2 linked regions of the Tribolium castaneum genome follow. Each later gene encodes a partner of the first gene's protein in a complex. Links are inferred from orthologs where the notes say so. Each region holds a gene or a part of one and is shown in the gene's direction. Other genes may lie near its edges. The genes, in order: Tfb5 and Polr2B.

Region 1 (16,218 bases):
CCCGTCATAATAACCAAATCTTTCGATCTTATAAAAAACATAAACGGACGATCGGCGGTAAAAAACTTCTGTGCAGTGGGTACGGAAATCGAATTAATACTAGTTTTTTCTAAAAATATTGTCAAACAGTGAGGTCAGGTCAAGTCAAGTCAACTTTTACCATTCAGGTCGCGAATCGGCTCCATGTCCAGCCCTCGTTGGTCCACGTTTATGACACATTTTTGCATAACCAAATCAAAGAAAGCCTCAGTTTTACTCTGAAAAATACCGTCCAGTTCGGCCTCGCTGGTGAATGCTTTGGCCATTCCTAACTGAATCACACTGGAATTGGATTAATCACATTAAAGTGAGACTCACGTATTGCAAAATCGGCTTAAAGTCGATCAAAGACTCGATTTTGAATTTGGGTAAACTGACTTTGACCATTTGGGGGGTGAACGAATTAGCCAAGTACACCTCGTAAAGGTGGGCCTCAATCAGAGCGATATCGCTCGAAACTTTATCAGGGAGCACCACAATCATGGCCAGTGACTCATCATCAAACCTCAACTCCACCAATTTAGCCCCGATTGAGTCGCTCTCAAAGTAGTTAAACTGTCCGGTGATTTCCATCATTTCGACCTTGATGACTTCAACCGCCGTTTTGTAAAAATCCTGACTTTCGATAAACTGAAACGGCTTCAACCACCCACTTTTAAAGAACGCCGTGCTCAGCAAAACCACTTTTGTGTCGCGCGTTAGCACGTTACCATCCACCAAACTTTGGATTTTCTCGCCTGTTTGTTTCCTCACCCCTTCATTGATGCTTTTCGCCACGTCGGCCGGGTTCGCAAAATTCACAAGCTCGGTATCGGCCTGGAAAATCCTTTTCCCGTTTGTCCGAAACTCCTTTTTCACGTTGAGGTTTTTATGGAGGTACATTTTAGTGAGTAGGTTCAAGTGGTAGTGGTCTGGTTTAATCAGGGTTGGGAGGAGCGTCTTCCAGGCGGTTTCGGTGTCACGAGGGTGGTAAGGCAAGTGCAGGGCTGTGGCCATTTCTTGGACTGTTTTGTTCCGGGCCCCACTGGCTGCGAAAGCAATCACGAGTTGGATGGCAAAAGGGCTCACGATCAGGTTTTCGGAGGTTTTGAGGATCTGGAAAAGGGGAAGTAGAGGAGTTGGGGGCTGGGGGACCTACGCTGTAGACATCGGCTGTGAATAGGTTGTTCCCCGAGACGAATTCTTGCAAAGCCACTTTGGAACGAAATGATTGACACGGTGTTGACAATTATTTTAAAGCTTCAAAATCTCAAGCGCGTTAACTAACTGAGCCAAAAACTTAGGGAAAATGTTCCCTTCAGTCCCATGGGTCGAAATCTAGCAAAAAAAGTCGGCGGTAATGGTCAAATTTAAATTTAGTGCCCCCCTATTGCCTGAATTATGCAACCAACATTACACATCAAGTTTTCTTGTTCCATTTATGAGAAAAACAAATCCAGCTAAACTGGCCAACTGGGGACAACAGTCTCAAGCCAATTTTTTTGCTTCTCCTACGTTATATTCCCTTGTAGCCTAGATCTAATTTTTGTTGAAAAAGTGAGCTGGGAATGCGAACAGAAACACTAAGCCCTTTAGTAGCAAAATTTATTGATTTAATACAAAATTTAAGTATCAGAGCATCACCATCAAAAAATATCACACAAGTGATGTAGCCGGTAGTTCCCCCATCATTCACTCTCGACCAAAAGCTCCTCAAACAGCCTTATCAAATTATTAATCCCTTCCAGATAGTTGTTATCAATCTGGTATTTCTCGGCCGGGAAGGCATGAGCAAAATCAATCATCTTCACCGTAGCCCAAAGCTCCGACTTCTGCTCGGTGCACAACTCGTCCAAAATATAAGTATAATCCTGTCTTTTACTCTGCATATCCTTATCGTAATCGTTTTGGAAGGAGTGGGTCCGTTTCAGCGTCCTGATCGATTTCTGCCACACATTATTACTCCTATTCTTCGCAACGTAATCGTCGAATTGCTTCAATTTAGTTGGAGAGGTAGGTGTTCGCAAAATGGGGCCTTCTTTGGTCAACTGACCGCTAAATCCAGTTGAAATCTTCTCGTTGTTGAGAACAGCGAGGCTTAAAGGCCGGTAAAGGCTAGTAGATCGTTGTAATTTTAGAATTGGTTTGGGGTCAGTTTTGCGCAACTCGCGGAGTCTCCGAGCGTCGTAAACAAGGAGAAGAGACGAGGAATAGAAGTGGTAAGTGCGCTGTTTGCGGGCCCACATTTGAATTCGCCATAAACTTGCCAAGAATTGGACTATTAGGCTGCGACAAGGCGGGGACGTCTCGGCGTTGAGGAAAGTCTTCAAAGCTGCGAAAAAACGATTTAAAATAACTTTTAACGAATTTTGAATTTTTGTAAAGTCAGGTTGGCAACACCAACGCGGTTTAAGGTAATTCCACAATCAACTAAAAAATGTAATAGGACAATACATTGTCTGCGTTGGTCGGAAAACACAATTCTGACCAGGAAACTTGTACTGTTTAAGGAAAATTGTAATATTGGGCAAAATAAGCTTTTTTCAATTTCGTCAGGTTGGCGGTACTATCCTACTTCAAATGCTTAACTGAGCGAGAATTTTAGTGTAATTTTTCTAAAAAAAGTGTAAAACCGTCGTCAAAGACGAGTTCAATGATCGTGAAGTGCCTACGTGGGGCCTATTTAATAAAATTGTAAAGTTTGAGAAATGAAATTGGATCGGTAAGCCCTAACCTCACTTTTATTTTAAACACTAAGGACGATTTGTGCATTATTTAACTAAAAAACACGAGTTTTTGTGTGTTCATAAGTCAGGAAATGTGATTTTCAGAATTTGTTCTCAACTGGATCCAAAAATATGAATTTCGTCGTCATTAAAGCATGGTTGGTAGAAAAATATTCCCTGACCGGTTGGTAGCAGTGTTACATTTGACAAAAGTGATGGCGTCGAAAAAATTTTTGAATTCCGAATTATTTTACCTAAGAACAAGCAAACAACAACGAAAACGTATGCTAGTGACAAGAAAAATGAAAATTGACGTGTTCTGGATGTGAAAACGGCACTTCCAAAGCGAAAATTCAATCAACCGGTCGGTAAGTCCTAACCTCACTTTTGACCTTACTAACCTAACGGAACGGTGTCTTTATTAAGAGTTTTTCCGTAATTCTTGTCAAACTTGGCCAACTGGTTGTTGTAAATTTGATAGACTTGAAAACCTGGGATGCAGAAGGCGAGGTCGCGCTTCGAGTCTTGATACTTTGCCTAAAATTTGAATTAATTTTTGCCGTTTTTCCAATGCCGGTTACCTCTTCATTGACGATTTTCTCATAAGTGGCTGTGGGGTCCCACGTCCTTCTCCCGATCTTGATGTCCATGACGCAGGGCTCTTTGTAATGTTTCGTCAGATCTTCAAGCACTATGCAGTCGATTTCCGTGCCCTTGATGGGCACTTTAACCGTCCCGAAGTACTTGGGGACAAAATCCTTCAACTCCCTTCTTGTCTCATCGCTGGCTTTGCTAACTTCTTCGTAAAACTCGACCTCGCGTTGGCCACACTTCGGCTTGGTGATGGGTTTAAGTACAGTGCCCTTGTGCTTAATCATACCTTTTTTGCAAATTTTGTAAATTTCAACATTTCGCATGTACACACTGGTTACCGTATTGTTTTCCCTTGATCATATGACCCGCCACTTGATTTTCGAACAATTGCATATCGGCAGGGATCTCTAGATACTCTTCATCTTCTTCCACTGGATCAACGAGCGAAAAGGCGGCACCTTTACAGCCCGCGTACAAGCTGTCTTGTTTATGAATTGGCATTGGTACGACTTCTGATTTTCCCATTTTTTCAAGCTTATCTGATCGGCTAAAACAACCATAAATGTGATAAATGCGATTATTAAGCCGGGGTTATTAATTTTTCGCAAATTGAAAGGAATTAAGCGATAAGTCGAGGCGGCTATGACCTGACGCAACTTTCGATTTCGAGGCGGCTGTGACCTATCAAATGTCACTTTTGTTTATTTTTTTCTCATCGTGTGGGTACAATCTAATGACAGATGCAACTTTCGATTTCTCACGGCCAACTGAGCCACATTGCAAAGGGTTCGAAACAATTACACGCGCGCCATGACTGCAAAATAATTTAATATTGGTTGGCCCTGAATTTAACAAAAGCTTGTAAGATGCATGGTAATTGTTTTATCATGGCCAAGTGGGGAACCAAATTCGTGGGTGCCAAATTTATGTCCCCTAATCCTTTTAGAATTGCAAACAAAAATTATTTTTATCGATTAAACACTCACTTAGCGCATAACATCATCATAAATTCGCTTGAGTGCCTCGCTTATCATAACAATCACTCGATTGTTATTTTAACGTTTCAGGATAAACGTTTTTCAATTGCATAATAAAATGCAATGTTTATTCAACAAGACATAGTTGACCCTTGAATAATCTCGTTAAGGTATTTTCATTATCGGGGCCGAGATAAATTAAATATTTTCCAACAATAAAACTCGTTGGCAAATGAAGGAAAATGTCACCTTGATGACTAAAGCCAAGTAATAAATTTTGCGCCTAAGAGAGTCGGCGAAATCTTCCAGTGACATAATTTGGGAGCCTTAAACTTGACTTGAATTAGATTTATTAGGGACAAAGTTTGCAACATGAATCCTTATCAGACGCTTTCTAATAACTTTCCCAGAACACCCGGTATAAAAATCGGCGAATTTAATAGGTCACTCTGATAATTGCAATTATTTGTAAAAAGTGCAATTGTCACGACCGTTAGGCGCTTGTTCGGAGGTCAACAGCCCCTTCGCGACCTTTCCCCCGAATAAAAAATATGAAAAAAAAATTATTTCACGAATATTTTTAGAATATGATTCACTTTTTCCCTGAACACAATTAGCGGGGTCTTTGACGCTATAAATATGTAATTTGATCCAACACAAGCTCAAAAAAATAATACAACATAAAATATAAAAAATGTGGCCAGTTCCAGGTGATAGTCCAGGGCACAAAAACCACTAACCTACTCAACTTCGAACCAAAATTTGCGTATTTTGTAACCAAATTTGCACAAAGAGCACTGCAAGATGTTCATTTTATTTAAAGAAAACCGTTTTGGGCGAATCTTGAACCGTCACAGTGAACAAAACCACGTCACTTTGATTTGTGCAAATTTGACACCTTGACGAGTTATTTATACGCGAAAAGGCGCATGCGCACTGTCGCCAACCATAGAAGTAAAAAATTGACTCCCTTTCTCCGGTGATGAAAAATGGAAATTTCGCCAGAAAATCCCACTCGATTTATGTTGGCAATTTGTACGAAACGGCTAATCTAGCCAACTGTTGTTGACACCACAAGTGTTTGTTTAATTTTTTCATTGCCAACGCATTGTGGCGCGAAATTTGAACTAGATTTTTAGGTCTGTTGTTGCCATGACGTGTTTATTAGGGGAATTACCGAGAACCGCCCTCAACTTACCGCCGAAATAAATTTCGCTCATCTCCTCAAACAGGATGTATCGATTGCATTGACTGCGATTTCACGGAAATGTTATCAACGTTCGCACCCACGTGTTAATTGTTTTTTCAACCGGAAATCGCGAAAGTTTATTTACTCGAAAAAATCGTGTACTCGCCGCTAATTCGCCCAATCTCTGTGCATGTATTTTTAAGTCGTCCTTCACTCCACTTTAAGAACACACATTAAAGATGTGTTTTTATAGCGACAATACGACGATAATAAAACGATGACTGACTTTTTGCGACTCGAGGAGACCTTTTCAATAAAATAAATCACTCGGTTTACGAAAATAGAACGGCATGAATGACATCCGATCGAACCTTCGCGGCTTTGCCAACAGTATTTTACACGAGGAAAAATCGACATCAGTAAACAAATCAATTAAAAAATTGTTTATTTGATTAAAATACATATAGATATTTATTTGGTGTATTTGTAGAAGCCTTCGCCGGTTTTCACGCCCAGTTTTTTCTCATCGATTAGTTTTTGTACGGATTCGTTCGGTTTGAAAAGGGGGTTATCAGGGAATTTCTTGTGCCAGCCTTGCATGATGGCGTGCGAGGTGTCATGTCCCACGTAGTCGGCCAGTTCGATGGGGCCCATGGGGTAGCCAGCCCCCAGCTTCATGGCGGTGTCGATATCGCGGGGCGAAGCATCACCTTCGAAAAAAATTCATACATATTTTTTGTGTTAACAGCCTTTCAAAATTTTGACTTGTAATTACTGTATACTGCCGTTAAAAAAAATAGTAAGGTAATGCCGTTTTCCTTATTTTTTTTATTTAGAGATGTTACTGTCTTGACTAGTATTTGCCTTCATAAAGTACTACTTACCGATATTGAGAAATTTCTAAAAATTATGTATGCAAATTTTTTTGAAAATGAAACTATACAAATTACAAATTTTTTAACTAACAATTAGAAAAACTTTATTTGCCACAACATTGATCACATATTAATTATTTATTTAAATGTAATTTAAAAATTTAGCTCGCTTACATAACAAACCTAAAATAAAATATTAATTCATAGTAAAATTTTAAAAATCGGGTTTTTATAAAAAGAAAATTAGAAACGAGATTAACGATTTTGTGTATTGAAATTTTCAAACATTTGTTTTTCCACAAAATTAAAAATCAAATTTTAGTATATGATTAACAGAATACTTAGTAATTTGACATTGGTTAATGCAACTTAAATAGCAACTTTATGAAACGAGCCTTAGCGAGTGTCGTACGAGTGTTTTAAATTAAATGCGAGTTACATACACTATTTTTTTACGATCCGACTGATTAAAATTAAAAGACTTGCATTTTTTTTCAAAATGATTAATTTATTTTTAAAGTCAGACTCAAGGCAATCTAATAGTTGCTGCCATGTTACATTCTCATTGGTCACAAGTTGTCCTCGTGGTCACTACTCTGCATTACCATTGGTTACAAGCCAGTATCATAATGATTTTCATTAAAGTACAGGTCACAAACATTTTTAATCAATCACTTCAGGAATGGGAGTAGAAAAAATATATAACATTATAAGATAGTATTGTTTTCAGCTAATTTTTTTTATATTGGTGAAGGTTAAGTTATTGAATCAAACTTTAACTGTCGTTATGTTAAAATATTTCAATAAAAGATTAGCAAAAAATGTTAGGTACAATGCAAATTTATATATTTTTTAAATAAAACACCCTATATTGTGCATTTTTGGATATATAGAGTGTGTCTAAAGTAACGCATAAAATTCATATTATTCTGATTTTTCAAAATAAGCAAAAAAATAATCGCCCCTTATAAAATTTTTTTTTTTTCTAAATTTTTTATTTATCACTTCAATTTTTTGCACTTACTATAAAGATAAAAGAGTAATATCTACTATAAAAAACAGTAACCAAAAATATCGATTCCCATTTAAAAAAATTAAAAATAGCGGCATTATTGAGAAACCAGTGATGTCACAAATGTTACCATGTAGCATTTACAAAAATAAGCTCGACCTGTTCGAGGATTTTTTTGAAAAATGACCTTCAACAAATACATAGTTCTTAATCATAATGTTGTTTCACCAGTAGATTTTGCTAAGTTTTTGAAAAAAACCTCAAAATCCAATAAGAAAAAAAACCGGGTTGACATAAATTTACTTGGAAAAAAAATCCTAAATTTCATCTTGACAGTCTGAAGTCTGAAGAATTTTTCGGTATTTTATAACTCGATTTATTTTCCATTCGTAGAGCCTTATTGGCAATAAAAATATTTTCAAAAATTCATTTCGTTTTGTGTAACTCAAGTCGTATCAGATTTATTGAACGCCTGTATTTGCCACAAGCTTGGCAACCTTAAAGCTCTCAGCTTCGCTTCGAGCTTCAATATTACATAATTATTACCTCTCTCCATCATCCTGATGGCTTCTGCTATATAGGGCACCAGAAGCCTGTTAACAATAAACCCGGGGGTGTCCTTGCAGGTGACGCAGGTCTTGCCCACGGCTTTGCCCCACGCCATAAAGGCCTCGTACGTCTCCTGCGACGTCTCCGGAGTCCTAACAACCTCCAAAAGCTTCATAACGGGCACGGGATTGAAAAAATGCAGCCCCCCGAACCTATCCTTCCTCTTCGTAACGGAGGCAATTTCGGTAATCGAGAGCGAGCTCGTATTTGACGCAAACATGGTTTTGGGGGGCGCGACCTCATCCAAATTTTTGAACAATTTGTGCTTAACATCCATGTTTTCAACAATCGCCTCCACGACCAAATCGCTGTCTTTCACAGCTTCGGCAATGTCGGTGCACCCCTTAATCCGGGCCTGCGATTCGCTCACGAATTTATTAGCGGCTTGCGGGTCATCCTTGTGGAGTTTTTTGGCGACTCGTACCAAGTTTTTCGCAATGCTGTCTTCGGCTTTTTTGATCAAGTCGGGGTTGACTTCCACGATGGTCACGTTGTGGCCGGTTTGCGCGGCCACCTAAGCAAGGGGGCGAATGTTAGGTTAGGTTCGGGTGGTTTGGGGTACACTTACTTGGGCGATGCCTGAGCCCATGAGGCCGCCCCCGATCACAGTTACGTTTTTTATAACTGCGTTCATGGGGCTTGAAGTTGAAAGGCTTCGCTTGATGAACAGGTTTAGGGCCATTTTTTCGCGTTCGGTTACGAGTAAAAAGTGGTGTGTAATGCGGATTTTGTTTGGTTTATTAACGATACAATAACTAGGTGAAAGTCCAAGTTTGTAACCTATGATCGACTCCCACCGCTACGTTTGTGTACTTTTTAATCATTTTATCGTTTATGGCGAGATTAGGGCTCAGAAGTGAAAATCATCGTGCCGATGGTTTAAAAATAATCCGCTTTCGATAACGAGTGCGACTTTTGTACCTGAATTTATTTAGGTATTATGTAATAAAAGTGCAACATCATTCAGTCAAGTGGTACACAGGAGGGTTCCAAAATGGGGCTATATAGCAATCCCTGTTATCAATTTATCCACTTTTTTCAAAGAAATACTTGAAAAAAAATATAATTTTGGGGAAATTTGTGATTATGCAATCAGCAATACACGTGTGAGAGGTTAGTTGCATTCTATAAGTTGTCAAATGTCATAAAAACACCAACTTTTGTAAGAAAAATAATTTATTTCTGATTTAAAAAAGTACACAATTCTCGATTATCAACAATGGTTAATGTAATGAAAGGCGTTTTGGTGACCTGGTAAGGCCCTAACAATTTTTTTGAGTTTTTGTTTGACATAACCTCAATCATGCCAGATAATCCAAATCTCCGGGAATCCCAAACTGCTTATTTAAAACCTTATCTTCCATCATAAACTTCCTTTTGCACCATGATTTGACCGCGAAGATATTATCAGTCCATCGATTTGCTGCTTCTTTTACCGGTTTTATCTCACTTTGCATTAATTTCAAATTTTGAGTATCTGTGTGAGATTTCGACAGAGATTCGAATTTTTCTTTCTGTTTTTCCAGTTTTTCAATTTCCTTCAAAATCTGGCTGTCGTCCCAATTCTCTTTCCCCACCTGCGCTTTTTCCATAGTTTCGTCAATTAATTTCAATTTTTTTGTTGACGATTCTAATTTCGTTTGAAGCTCGTTAAGTTTGCGTTTTTTCGCGTTAAGTAATTTGCTGTAATTAGGATAAAACGTGTTTTTGGCCCGTCTATACCGTTTTTCGGACACTCTCCCAGTTATCTCAGTGATCTCCGTTATTATAAGAGATACGAGGTCGGTTAAATTAGGGCAAAGTTGCGCATTTTTATGCTGAACAATTATTTGAAAAAAAAAATTGTAATTTTCGTTTTTATTTTTTCAAGTGAAAACCAAAAGAACTAGACGTAGGACTTTTTCGGGCACTTTTTACAAGGAATCTAAATTTGTCATCGGATTTTCCTAGGCTTGCTTGATGTCAGAGTTACAACACTTAACTTCGTTTTTTTTATGGGAAAAAAATAAAAACGAAAATCATTTTTTTAAATTTCTCTCAATAATTCAAAAACTAAAAATGGCACATAAAATTTTCTTTCAGAAATTGTTTTGCATACAAATGCACAACTTCTCAAAAAAACGGACACCCTGTATAATATTTACCTGGGAAAAGCCCAAAAGTAGACGGAACTCCCGATCTTATCCTTATCAACAGAACCATCATCCACCAAAGCTTGGACCACTTCTTTCACAGAATTCGCCGTAATTCCTTTCTCCTTTGGCGCAATTATTTCCAATTCATTCATTTGATAAAAATCCCCAGTCTCGTGAAACAATTGCAACATCCTAGCCTTTTTCTCCTCAAAACTTAGACCTTTTTTCTTGAACATTTTCCCCTAAAAAATGCGTTGTTTCAGTGACCAGGCCATGAAACAATTCCTTTTGTATTTAGATGAGACTACAAAACTAGGCCGAAAATTCATAATTCAGGACTTGGATGAAAACCACTTATTTATTTCAGCCGATATTTTAGAGACATTACAGGCAAAAATCGACGATCTGATGGACCAAATTAGCTTCCCAGTCGCCGAAAAAAGCAATTAATTTTTTGTAATTTGCAAAAGTGAGGTTATGTCATATTGATGTGTGGTCATTCGAATTATAAATAAAAAGCGCAGCATTTATATAATGACGTGTTTTGCTATAAATAATATCGTTGCGGGCCGGTTTTCGTCCATACTTACGCAATAAGGCACTAATTAACTGTTTTTTCAAATTGTCGGTACAAATAATACAGTTCCCTGTAAATTGGAAGTGGCTACAATTACGCTTCTTTGATAACCGACTATTCTACAGTTGTTACGCCATCACGAACATTTTTACACACAAATGATAAGAATAGAATTAAGCAATAGATAACGGAAACGTGTCACTAATTATAATTTTTCCCTGATTTAATAGCCGCCGTGACGTAACCACAGCCACATGTCAAACGTCACAATTGACTTCTTTGGTTATGTTCCGTTTGTCAAAGTTATAAAACGAAAAAACGCGTTTCTCGGCCACAAATCATCAAGTGTGTTAAGTTCCGTGTCAGTGCATTTACCCCCATCATGACGGTGCCCACCCCCAGCGAGAAACTCCTCACCAATGGCTCCACCACTCCCAAGCGCCAAAACGGCCAAAAATCGGGCCTCATGAAGCTATCAAGTTACGTGCTAGCCTTGCGTCCGTGGTCCCTCAGTGCCAGTCTCATGCCCACACTGTTGGGCTCCACCATAGCGTACAAATACCCCGGAGTTACCGATTTCAACTACGCCACCCTCCTGCTCACAATTTTCACCGTGGTGTCGGTGCACGGCGCCGGAAACGTCGTCAACACCTACTTCGACTACGTCAAGGGGATCGACAACCGGAAATCGGACGACCGGATCCTGGTGGACCACATTCTGACCAAAGACGAGGTGGTGTCTCTGGGGGCCCTTTTATACTTTGCCGGCTGTGTGGGGTTCATTCTCTTGGCGGCGTTGAGCCCCGCGAAGATGGAGCACTTGGCTTTGGTCTATTTCGGGGGGCTGTCGTCGAGCTTCCTCTACACGGGAGGTATAGGCTTCAAGTATATAGCCCTCGGGGATGTGCTTATTTTGATTTTGTTCGGCCCCATTTCGGTGCTTTTCGCCTTCATGTCGCAAACGGGGCGCGTCGAGTGGGCGACGATTTACTACGCCATCCCTCTGGCCCTTAATACTGAGGCGATTTTACATAGTAATAACACAAGGGACTCTGAGTCGGACAAAAAGGTGGGAATTGTGACTCTGGCGATTATTATCGGCCACACTGCCTCGCACGTCTTGTACGCGTTTTTGTTGTTCACCCCGTATATCATGTTCATGGTGGCCTCGTTGAAATACTCGAAATGGTTCATGTTGCCTCTAGTCACGCTTCCTAGCGCTTTTAAAATCGAAAAACAGTTCAGATCCAACGATATACACAGTGTGCCCAAAAAGACTGCCAAATTGAATTTGTTTTTCGGTGTTTTGTACGTGCTGGCCTGTAGTTTGGTTCCAGCGCTGCCGTACGTCACCAAAAGATAGATGTACGAGCTCTTATTAGTTGTATTTATTTCTATTAAGTTATTTTTTACTGTGTTGAGGAACTGCGTCAAAAGGGGGCGCTAGTGCGGGTTTGCGGCTTGGGGTCCAAGCCGCAATACCTTCTCATTTTCGTTTGTTACGTCGAGATTATTGTACTTATGACAATGAACAGTCACGATCATAAAGAATGTCATCCCTATAAACTGTTGGGTCGTAAACGTCAATAAACATGATTTCGGGTTTTTACTTTTGTAACATCAACGATATTCTAATCGTGTAAATTAATAAATGTAGTCTATTTACTCCAAGTATGATCAAAACTGTATTACGTAATGTGTTAGCTTTTTAAGTAGTACTTATTTACTTATTTTTAAACAAAAGTAGGTGTACTAAAGTTCAAAACCAACGTTAGTTACATTCTGTTCCAGTTGTTAGCCACTTTTAATTTAAAATTTTAAATAGTACCCTCTATTTTTTGAAACATTTTTGTTATAAATTTTTACTTATCTTTAAATAATCTTTTTTTTGTTAGAAATTTTGCCTTTAATTTAATGTTTCTAAAAGTCCTAGTCTTTTGTCAAGTATTTACCAATAAAATTCTAAAAAAAAGTGATTATACAAAAGGACGAAGTCGCTCACAGACAAACCGAAAATGGGGTCTTACTTAAAACGAATCATCCGTTTTTAACCGCAAGTTGTTAAAGAAACTCGGCTTCGCCTCGGCTGGAATTTTTCTTTATTCAAAACGGTTGCAAAAAATAATAACGATGTTTCTCCATTTATGGATTCTATCAATATGAACTTACTAATATTTGGTCCTTCGAGCCGGATAAAGCAGCCATGTTGGCCGTGGAAAAATTATTTCACAGAAAATGTGTACAAAGTTAAAGGTTTTGCAAAATTTACACTTTTAAGCTAGAAATTCATTTATTTGGCCAAATTAAAAAAAAAATTGGAAACCTCAAAATTTAAAGTAAACTTTACAGTTTTGAAGCAACAGATTTTTGACTGATTTGACTTTGCAAAGGTAAATTCGATATTTGCTGGCCAATTCTATATATTCGTAATAAAAAAAATTATTTTATTAATCGATTTACATGAAAACGAGTTGAATACAACATTTATTTTTCGAATTTGACTCAACAAGGCTTGAAATTGCTTTAAATCTGTTAGAATAGTCAGACATTTCGTATTGAAAAATGCCAAATAGTTAAATAACTATTATGTTTGCTTAGAAACAATTTTTTAAATTTTAAATGAAAAATTATTATTGGAATTAATTATAAATTCACTGTTTTAGTTTTCAAATATGAACATACTCCTATAGATTGACTTTGTCAATGCAAGGTAAATGGTAACTTACTTTGAATTAATTTAACGTTGGAATAAATTTTAACTTGTTTTCTGTACGCCGACTCTAATTACATGTATATTATACGATTTTAATATCATTGGGGCCTAAAATCTAATAGTCGAGAAAACACTCGATGATGTGAAATTTACATTTATGACCTAAAAGATCATTGCTGTGGTTCGTAGGGGTGACATTCTTTCTGGTCGTGACTGAACCTAATCAGGTGATTGGCTCTTTCAAGGCGGGGTTTAGTCCCTGATTGGCCAATTATAAATCATGTATTTTTATAGCTGATTAATTTATTGTTAATGTTGATGAGTTTTGTATGACGTTGTGTAAGAGATTTTATAGTAAATCATTATAATTTCCGTTTGTTTTTATTTTGTGTGTCTAGACTAATATTAAACGAAACGCTTGGTAGTGGTAGTAGGCGCCATTTGACGTTTGGGGGCGCTGCAATCGCATCTCTTCCAGTCACTGCTCAGACTACTTCAATTGACAATAACGGAAAAGTCTGCGTAAAAATATCAAATAATTTATTCGTAGTGTGTGGGTTGGCCACCTGGCGGCTTGTTCGGGGCTTATGACTTAATCAATTATTCAAAGCGCGTCAGGGACAGCCTTTAGCACAATTTTCGGTAGTGATAATAGCACAATCATAGCATTTAAAATTGTTGGTCTAGTGGGATTTACAGGTTTGTTCCTGCGGAAGTTTTAGTCCTGAACCGTTTTTTACTTACGAGCTGTTTTGTCGGACAAACCTCTAGTTACCGAGACAGTATTGCATGATAGGGCTTTTACGAAAACACATATCTGATTTTTGTATAAATTTTATTGACCCATTACATACAAACTAACCTACGTTTTCATATAAAAATTGTTTTGCTTTGTTTTCATTACAAATAAATTTGATTATTTCGGTGTCTACAAGCTTTAACCTAAAATTATCTAGAAAAAATATCGGGAAACAATCAAATTTGTTTGCACTAACAGTTAATTCGATTAGATGAAAAAAATGTACATCTCACTTTGCGTTTTGTATAATTATGTACAAAAATAATCCACCGGACTGGGGGAAAGTCAAGACAAACAATAAGTTGGCATTAATTACTGAACTAAAAAAGCAACAATTTGGCAGTATGAATTTGAGGAACAAATGCAAACGAAACGAGATTCTCAGCCTTCCTTCCTTCCGGTCGAAATAAACTCAGTTTTATCCAAAAATTATATTTATACCAAAAAATAATAAAATTAATTTGCCGAACGTGTCTTTTCTGATTTCCATATCCTAATGCGCTCCTTCAACTCATTCACTGCAACATCCAAATTTTTAATTCCCCTACGAAAAAGCAACTTGAAACTAACCTGGCTGCAGCATATCTTCAGTCAATGGTTGCCGATTAAACGGGTCCGTACTGCTATTCAACAAATGCCTCATAATGACGGACCTGTCCATCACCTGCCCACTGGGCAACAACACAGGATCAGTCATCAAAGTGTCCATTAAGGGATCCTTGAATTCGTCAGGGGCGTCGCTCATCCAGTCATCACTTTTCTGGTTATTTTGATACACGTGATACGCCTTATCGGCCAAGGCCTTAAACCGTTCGATCTCAACCGGAGTTTTGATTGACAGGCGCTCTAATCGCGCCGCTGCGTCGTCAAACAAATCTTTCCGGAAAGATCTCTGCAAAGAACAGCGTATTATTCCTAGAACCGTAAATTAAATCAATTATCATGTTACGGAGGACTAGCTTGATAGATTTTCTGTATGCAAAAAATAGTACGGCAGAGTAAAAATGAGGGCGCTTCGTTTTAAACTTATTGTTTAAATAAATGATGTTAAGCTTTGCATTCTTGAGAGACTGAGAAAAACTGGTGGCTAAAATTTTTATAAGAAACATGGGAAAAATTATTAAAGATTTAAAATTTGCGCCTCGTCCTGTTTTTTTTTAAGACGCTGTTTGGGAGATTAATAAAATGTTGTGGAAAAAGTTAAAAATTTTGGTTTAAAATCTCGTGAAAACTCCCATATTCCCTGGCATTTACGTGATATTTTTCGTAATATTCTTCCTTCTTCCCAATCGGGGTTTAGAAAAGGTTTCAGTACAAATGCTTCATTAACTAATATTTTAGATAACTATCAGATACACTGTTACTGGTTTAAACACTGCATTATCATTAATGGACTTTTGATAAAATAAATAATTCATTGCTTTGTGCCAAACTTAAGTTTATGGGTTTTTAGTAAAACTGTTTAAAATTCTGTTTATGGTTCAACTGAACAATTTATTATCATACTGTGGAAGACTTACTTCAGGGGTACCCCAAGGCTCCGTTTTAGGGCCCTTATTGTAAATTAAATGACGTTGATCTAAACATACATTTTGAAAATTCTAAATTAAAAATTGTCAAAAGTATAAAATTAATGGGCGTTGGTTTTGATCAAGAATTACGTTTCAAATGTCATGTCTCTCTTATGGTAAAAAATAGTTACGTGTGTTTGCGTCTACTAAACCCAAACCATAGTATAATTGATTTCAAATTAAGAAAAAAAACTCTGTGAAACACTTGTATTATCAATTATAAATTATTGTCTCACACTTTTTTACCCTTGTATTGGCTCTAATTACAAAACTTGCTTACTATTTAAACAGCGCATTATTCCTAGAACCGTAAATTAAATCAATTATCATGTTACGGAGGACTAAGTTGATAGATTTTCTGTATGCAAAAAATAGTACGGCAGAGTAAAAATGAGGGCGCTTCGTTTTAAACTTATTGTTTAA
Region 2 (4,086 bases), on another chromosome or scaffold:
CCGGAATGTGGTACGTGTCTCCAGTGGTTTATTTTTAATGGTACTATTTTGAACAGACCAGGGACCATGACTGGGCCATTTACGTGAACCCAGTGGGCGTGGACGCGGCCGTCAAGACCCAGAACACGCGGTGTGTGGCCGGGGGCTACATCTGGAACCCCTATTTCACCCAACTGGCCGACCCCCTCAATGTATATTTTGCTTTTTTTTTAATTTTATAATATAATGTTCTGGTTTCAGGGTGATCTTTATCGGCAAGAGTGCGGGCCTGAGAACCCGCTCAGGTGCCACGTGGGGGACCTGTCGGCCCGTTTGGGGACCATCGACATCGGGCTCCAGCGCAAAGTCTTCACCGATGCGAATTTCCCGCTCGAAGGCGACGTCACGGCAATCGGGCGCTCCATCGTCATCATGAGCCCCAACAGACGTCCCGAACGTTACGCCTGTGCCAATATCGAGCCCGACTATGACATAATCAAGTACGCAAACATCGAAAAGCCCCCACGTTTTGTCCTGTCGCAGTTTATCGAAGAAGTGCGCGAAATTCTGGGAATCCCCGACTGGTTTTTGACCGTAGATTCGCGCAAAACCAAGTCTTTGCACAGCGACGCTTGCGTCCAGCTTTTGCTGCATTTTAAAGGACCGCTAGCTAACCGATTAGAGCAGGATTTCAGCCGATTGCTGGCAAGTGGGCGTTTAGACACCCCCACATTGTACATTCCAGGGTTTATTAATACGAAACGTAAGGTGAAAATTGCGTACAAGCAGTGTGGAGTACAAGACCCCAACGAGAAGAGTAAGTTTATGGATTAGGCGACAAAAAATGAGTGTATTTTGCAGGTAAAAAACGGACCGGATTTTTCTTTGCACGCTCAGGAAGCAACCCAGCCAAATTTGCTCACAGTCTGATTGTAGTGATAGTTTTAAGCTATTTATTGTAATGATATGACTGTTCCTAATAAAAAAGTAATATATTACCATGGAGTTTGAAATTTAGCGCCAATAATGAAGTCACGTGGTGCAATCCACAAAAAATCAAAAACGCAATATAATTAAAAAATTGGACTTGTTACCACTTACCTGACCTTTAAGTCACATTACAGATAATTATTAAATATTTTTTTGGTCGAATAGTGTAATTTAACATCGTATCTTGAAAATCTGGAGACTTTTTTGTTGTATGGTTACGTAACACTTCAAGGTCATTGCAGGAAAATAAAAAATTGGGCCGTATTTAACAAGTTTTTTATTTGTTTTCCAAAGTATTGTGTTTGGGGCTACCCCCCGAACATAAAATATTAATTTATTTCACAAAATAAGGGTTTTCTTGGGGTCCCCATACAAAGTCAACTGACACTTGACAGACGCTCAAAACTTGTGTTTTGTGCGTCTCATTTGTGCCCCATTTTTTGCAAATAATCAGCAATGTATGAACAAGACGAAGGTACGCAATCCCCCTTGAGTAGCCCCCGAGCCATTTGTAACAAAAACCGGCTTTTCAGACCAATTCGACGATGAAGAGTCTGAAGAAATCAGCTCCGAGTTGTGGCAAGAGGCCTGCTGGATCGTCATCAACGCCTATTTCGACGAAAAAGGCCTCGTCCGGCAACAACTGGACAGTTTCGACGAGTTTATCCAAATGTCGGTGCAACGAATCGTCGAAGACTCGCCCCAAATCGACCTCCAAGCCGAGGCACAGCACACAAGCGGCGAGCTTGAAAACCCCTCTCGGTATTTACTGAAATTCGAGCAGATCTACCTATCCAAACCGACCCATTGGGAGAAAGACGGCGCCCCCTCGCCCATGATGCCCAACGAGGCCCGCTTGCGCAACCTGACCTACTCGGCCCCCTTGTACGTCGATATCACCAAGACCATAGTCAAGGACGGCGAGGACCCCATTGAGACCCAGCACCAGAAAACCTTCATCGGGAAAATCCCGATTATGCTCCGATCCACGTACTGTCTCCTCAACGGTCTAACCGACCGCGACTTGACCGAACTCAACGAGTGCCCCCTTGACCCCGGCGGCTACTTCATCATCAACGGCTCAGAGAAAGTCCTAATCGCCCAGGAGAAAATGGCCACGAACACCGTCTACGTCTTCTCGATGAAAGACGGGAAATACGCCTTCAAATCCGAAATCCGCTCCTGTCTCGAGCACAGCTCGCGCCCCACGTCCACCCTCTGGGTCAACATGATGGCACGTGGGGGCCAGGCGATCAAAAAGGCCGCCATCGGGCAACGAATCATCGCGATCTTGCCCTACATCAAGCAGGAGATCCCCATCATGATCGTGTTCCGGGCCTTGGGGTTCGTGGCCGATCGGGACATCCTCGAGCACATTATTTACGACTTCGAAGACCCCGAGATGATGGAAATGGTGAAACCGTCCCTGGACGAAGCGTTCGTGATCCAGGAACAGAACATCGCACTCAACTTCATTGGGACCAGGGGGGCCCGGCCGGGCGTCACCAAAGAAAAGCGTATCAAATACGCGCGAGAGATCCTCCAGAAGGAGATGCTGCCCCACGTTGGAGTGTCCGATTTTTGCGAGACGAAAAAAGCCTACTTTTTGGGGTACATGGTGCACCGGTTGCTCCTGGCGGCTTTGGGGCGCCGCGAGCTGGACGATCGGGATCACTACGGTAACAAACGACTGGACTTGGCGGGGCCCCTGCTTGCGTTTTTGTTCCGTGGGTTGTTTAAAAACTTGATGAAGGAAGTACGGATGTATGCCCAGAAATTTATTGATCGGGGCAAAGACTTTAACCTCGACTTGGCCATTAAGACTAAGTTGATTACGGACGGGTTGAGGTATTCTCTGGCGACTGGTAACTGGGGGGACCAGAAGAAGGCCCACCAGGCCAGAGCCGGTGTCTCGCAGGTGTTGAACCGTTTGACTTTTGCCTCGACTTTGTCGCACTTGAGACGTGTTAATTCGCCCATTGGACGTGACGGGAAGTTGGCGAAGCCCCGACAGTTGCACAACACGCTCTGGGGGATGATTTGTCCGGCGGAGACACCAGAAGGGGCGGCTGTTGGTCTGGTGAAAAATCTGGCCCTCATGGCGTATATTTCGGTGGGGTCGCAACCCTCTCCAATTTTGGAGTTTTTGGAGGAGTGGTCGATGGAGAATTTGGAGGAGATTGCGCCGTCTGCCATAGCCAACGCGACCAAGATTTTTGTTAATGGTTGCTGGGTGGGAATTCACAGGGACCCCGAACAGTTGATGGCGACGTTACGCAAGTTGAGGAGACAGATGGATATTATTGTGTCGGAGGTTTCCATGATTCGGGATATTCGGGACCGGGAGATTCGCATTTACACGGATGCTGGACGGATTTGTCGGCCGTTACTAATCGTGGAAAATGGGACTTTATTGTTGAAGAAGCGCCACATTGATATGTTGAAAGAGAGGGAATATAATAACTACGGGTGGCAGGTTTTGGTGGCTTCAGGGGTTGTCGAATATATCGATACTTTGGAAGAGGAGACTGTGATGATTGCGATGTCTCCGGACGATTTGAGACAGGAGAAGGAATACGCGTATTGTACCACTTACACACATTGTGAGATCCATCCAGCTATGATTTTGGGTGTTTGTGCCAGTATTATACCCTTCCCGGATCACAACCAGAGTCCCAGAAACACATATCAAGTATTTGTTTTGGTGTTGTTTGAATTTTTTTAGTAATTAATTTTTTCCTCAGAGTGCTATGGGCAAGCAAGCCATGGGTGTGTACATCACCAACTTCCATGTCCGCATGGACACCCTTGCCCACGTCCTGTATTACCCCCACAAACCGTTGGTTACAACCAGATCAATGGAATATCTCAGATTCAGGGAATTACCGGCTGGGATTAACAGCATCGTGGCCATTGCGTGTTACACCGGTTATAACCAGGAGGATTCGGTTATTTTGAACGCGTCGGCCGTCGAAAGGGGATTTTTCCGGTGAGTATTAAAAAAAAGTAATATAGTAGAAATAAAATAATTTGTTATTTTGTGCTTTAGATCTGTGTTTTACCGCTCGTACAAGGACGCCGAATCGAAACGCATCGGCGACCAAGAGGAGCAGTTCG

What was found.
Region 2: Tfb5 (region 1) and Polr2B share a complex: the UniProt entries of both Homo sapiens proteins name them as parts of the TBP-based Pol II pre-initiation complex. The link is inferred for Tribolium castaneum from reciprocal best matches to the Homo sapiens genes GTF2H5 and POLR2B.

What each region holds. Positions count from the first base shown.
Region 1 is NC_087399.1:6,492,824-6,509,041, reverse strand, and holds Tfb5 (general transcription factor IIH subunit 5), read left to right. Parts: upstream 1-9,112; 5' UTR 9,113-9,219; coding exon 9,220-9,254; exon of another isoform or gene 9,255-9,301; coding exon of another isoform or gene 9,302-9,683; intron 9,684-10,144; coding exon of another isoform or gene 10,145-10,371; exon of another isoform or gene 10,372-10,377; intron 10,378-10,398; coding exon 10,399-10,585; 3' UTR 10,586-10,670; downstream 10,671-16,218. Other genes in the region: alaserpin, read right to left, coding at 1-109, 161-311, 358-1,035; Ipk2 (inositol polyphosphate multikinase), read right to left, coding at 1,707-2,350, 3,146-3,281, 3,326-3,624, 3,677-3,863; hydroxyacyl-coenzyme A dehydrogenase, mitochondrial, read right to left, coding at 5,976-6,214, 7,938-8,514, 8,569-8,682; meiotic nuclear division protein 1 homolog, read right to left, coding at 9,302-9,683, 10,145-10,371; heix (ubiA prenyltransferase domain-containing protein 1 homolog), read left to right, coding at 11,095-12,075; Ube4B (ubiquitin conjugation factor E4 B), read right to left, coding at 14,681-14,742, 14,795-15,116. UniProt on the Homo sapiens protein: Component of the general transcription and DNA repair factor IIH (TFIIH) core complex, which is involved in general and transcription-coupled nucleotide excision repair (NER) of damaged DNA and, when complexed to CAK, in RNA transcription by RNA polymerase II.
Region 2 is NC_087395.1:24,234,855-24,238,940, reverse strand, and holds the start of Polr2B (DNA-directed RNA polymerase II subunit RPB2), read left to right. Parts: upstream 1-1,286; 5' UTR 1,287-1,425; coding exon 1,426-1,444; intron 1,445-1,502; coding exon 1,503-3,661; intron 3,662-3,713; coding exon 3,714-3,958; intron 3,959-4,018; coding exon 4,019-4,086. Other genes in the region: uncharacterized protein Rsod, read left to right, coding at 1-10, 57-191, 241-796, 841-941. UniProt on the Homo sapiens protein: Catalytic core component of RNA polymerase II (Pol II), a DNA-dependent RNA polymerase which synthesizes mRNA precursors and many functional non-coding RNAs using the four ribonucleoside triphosphates as substrates.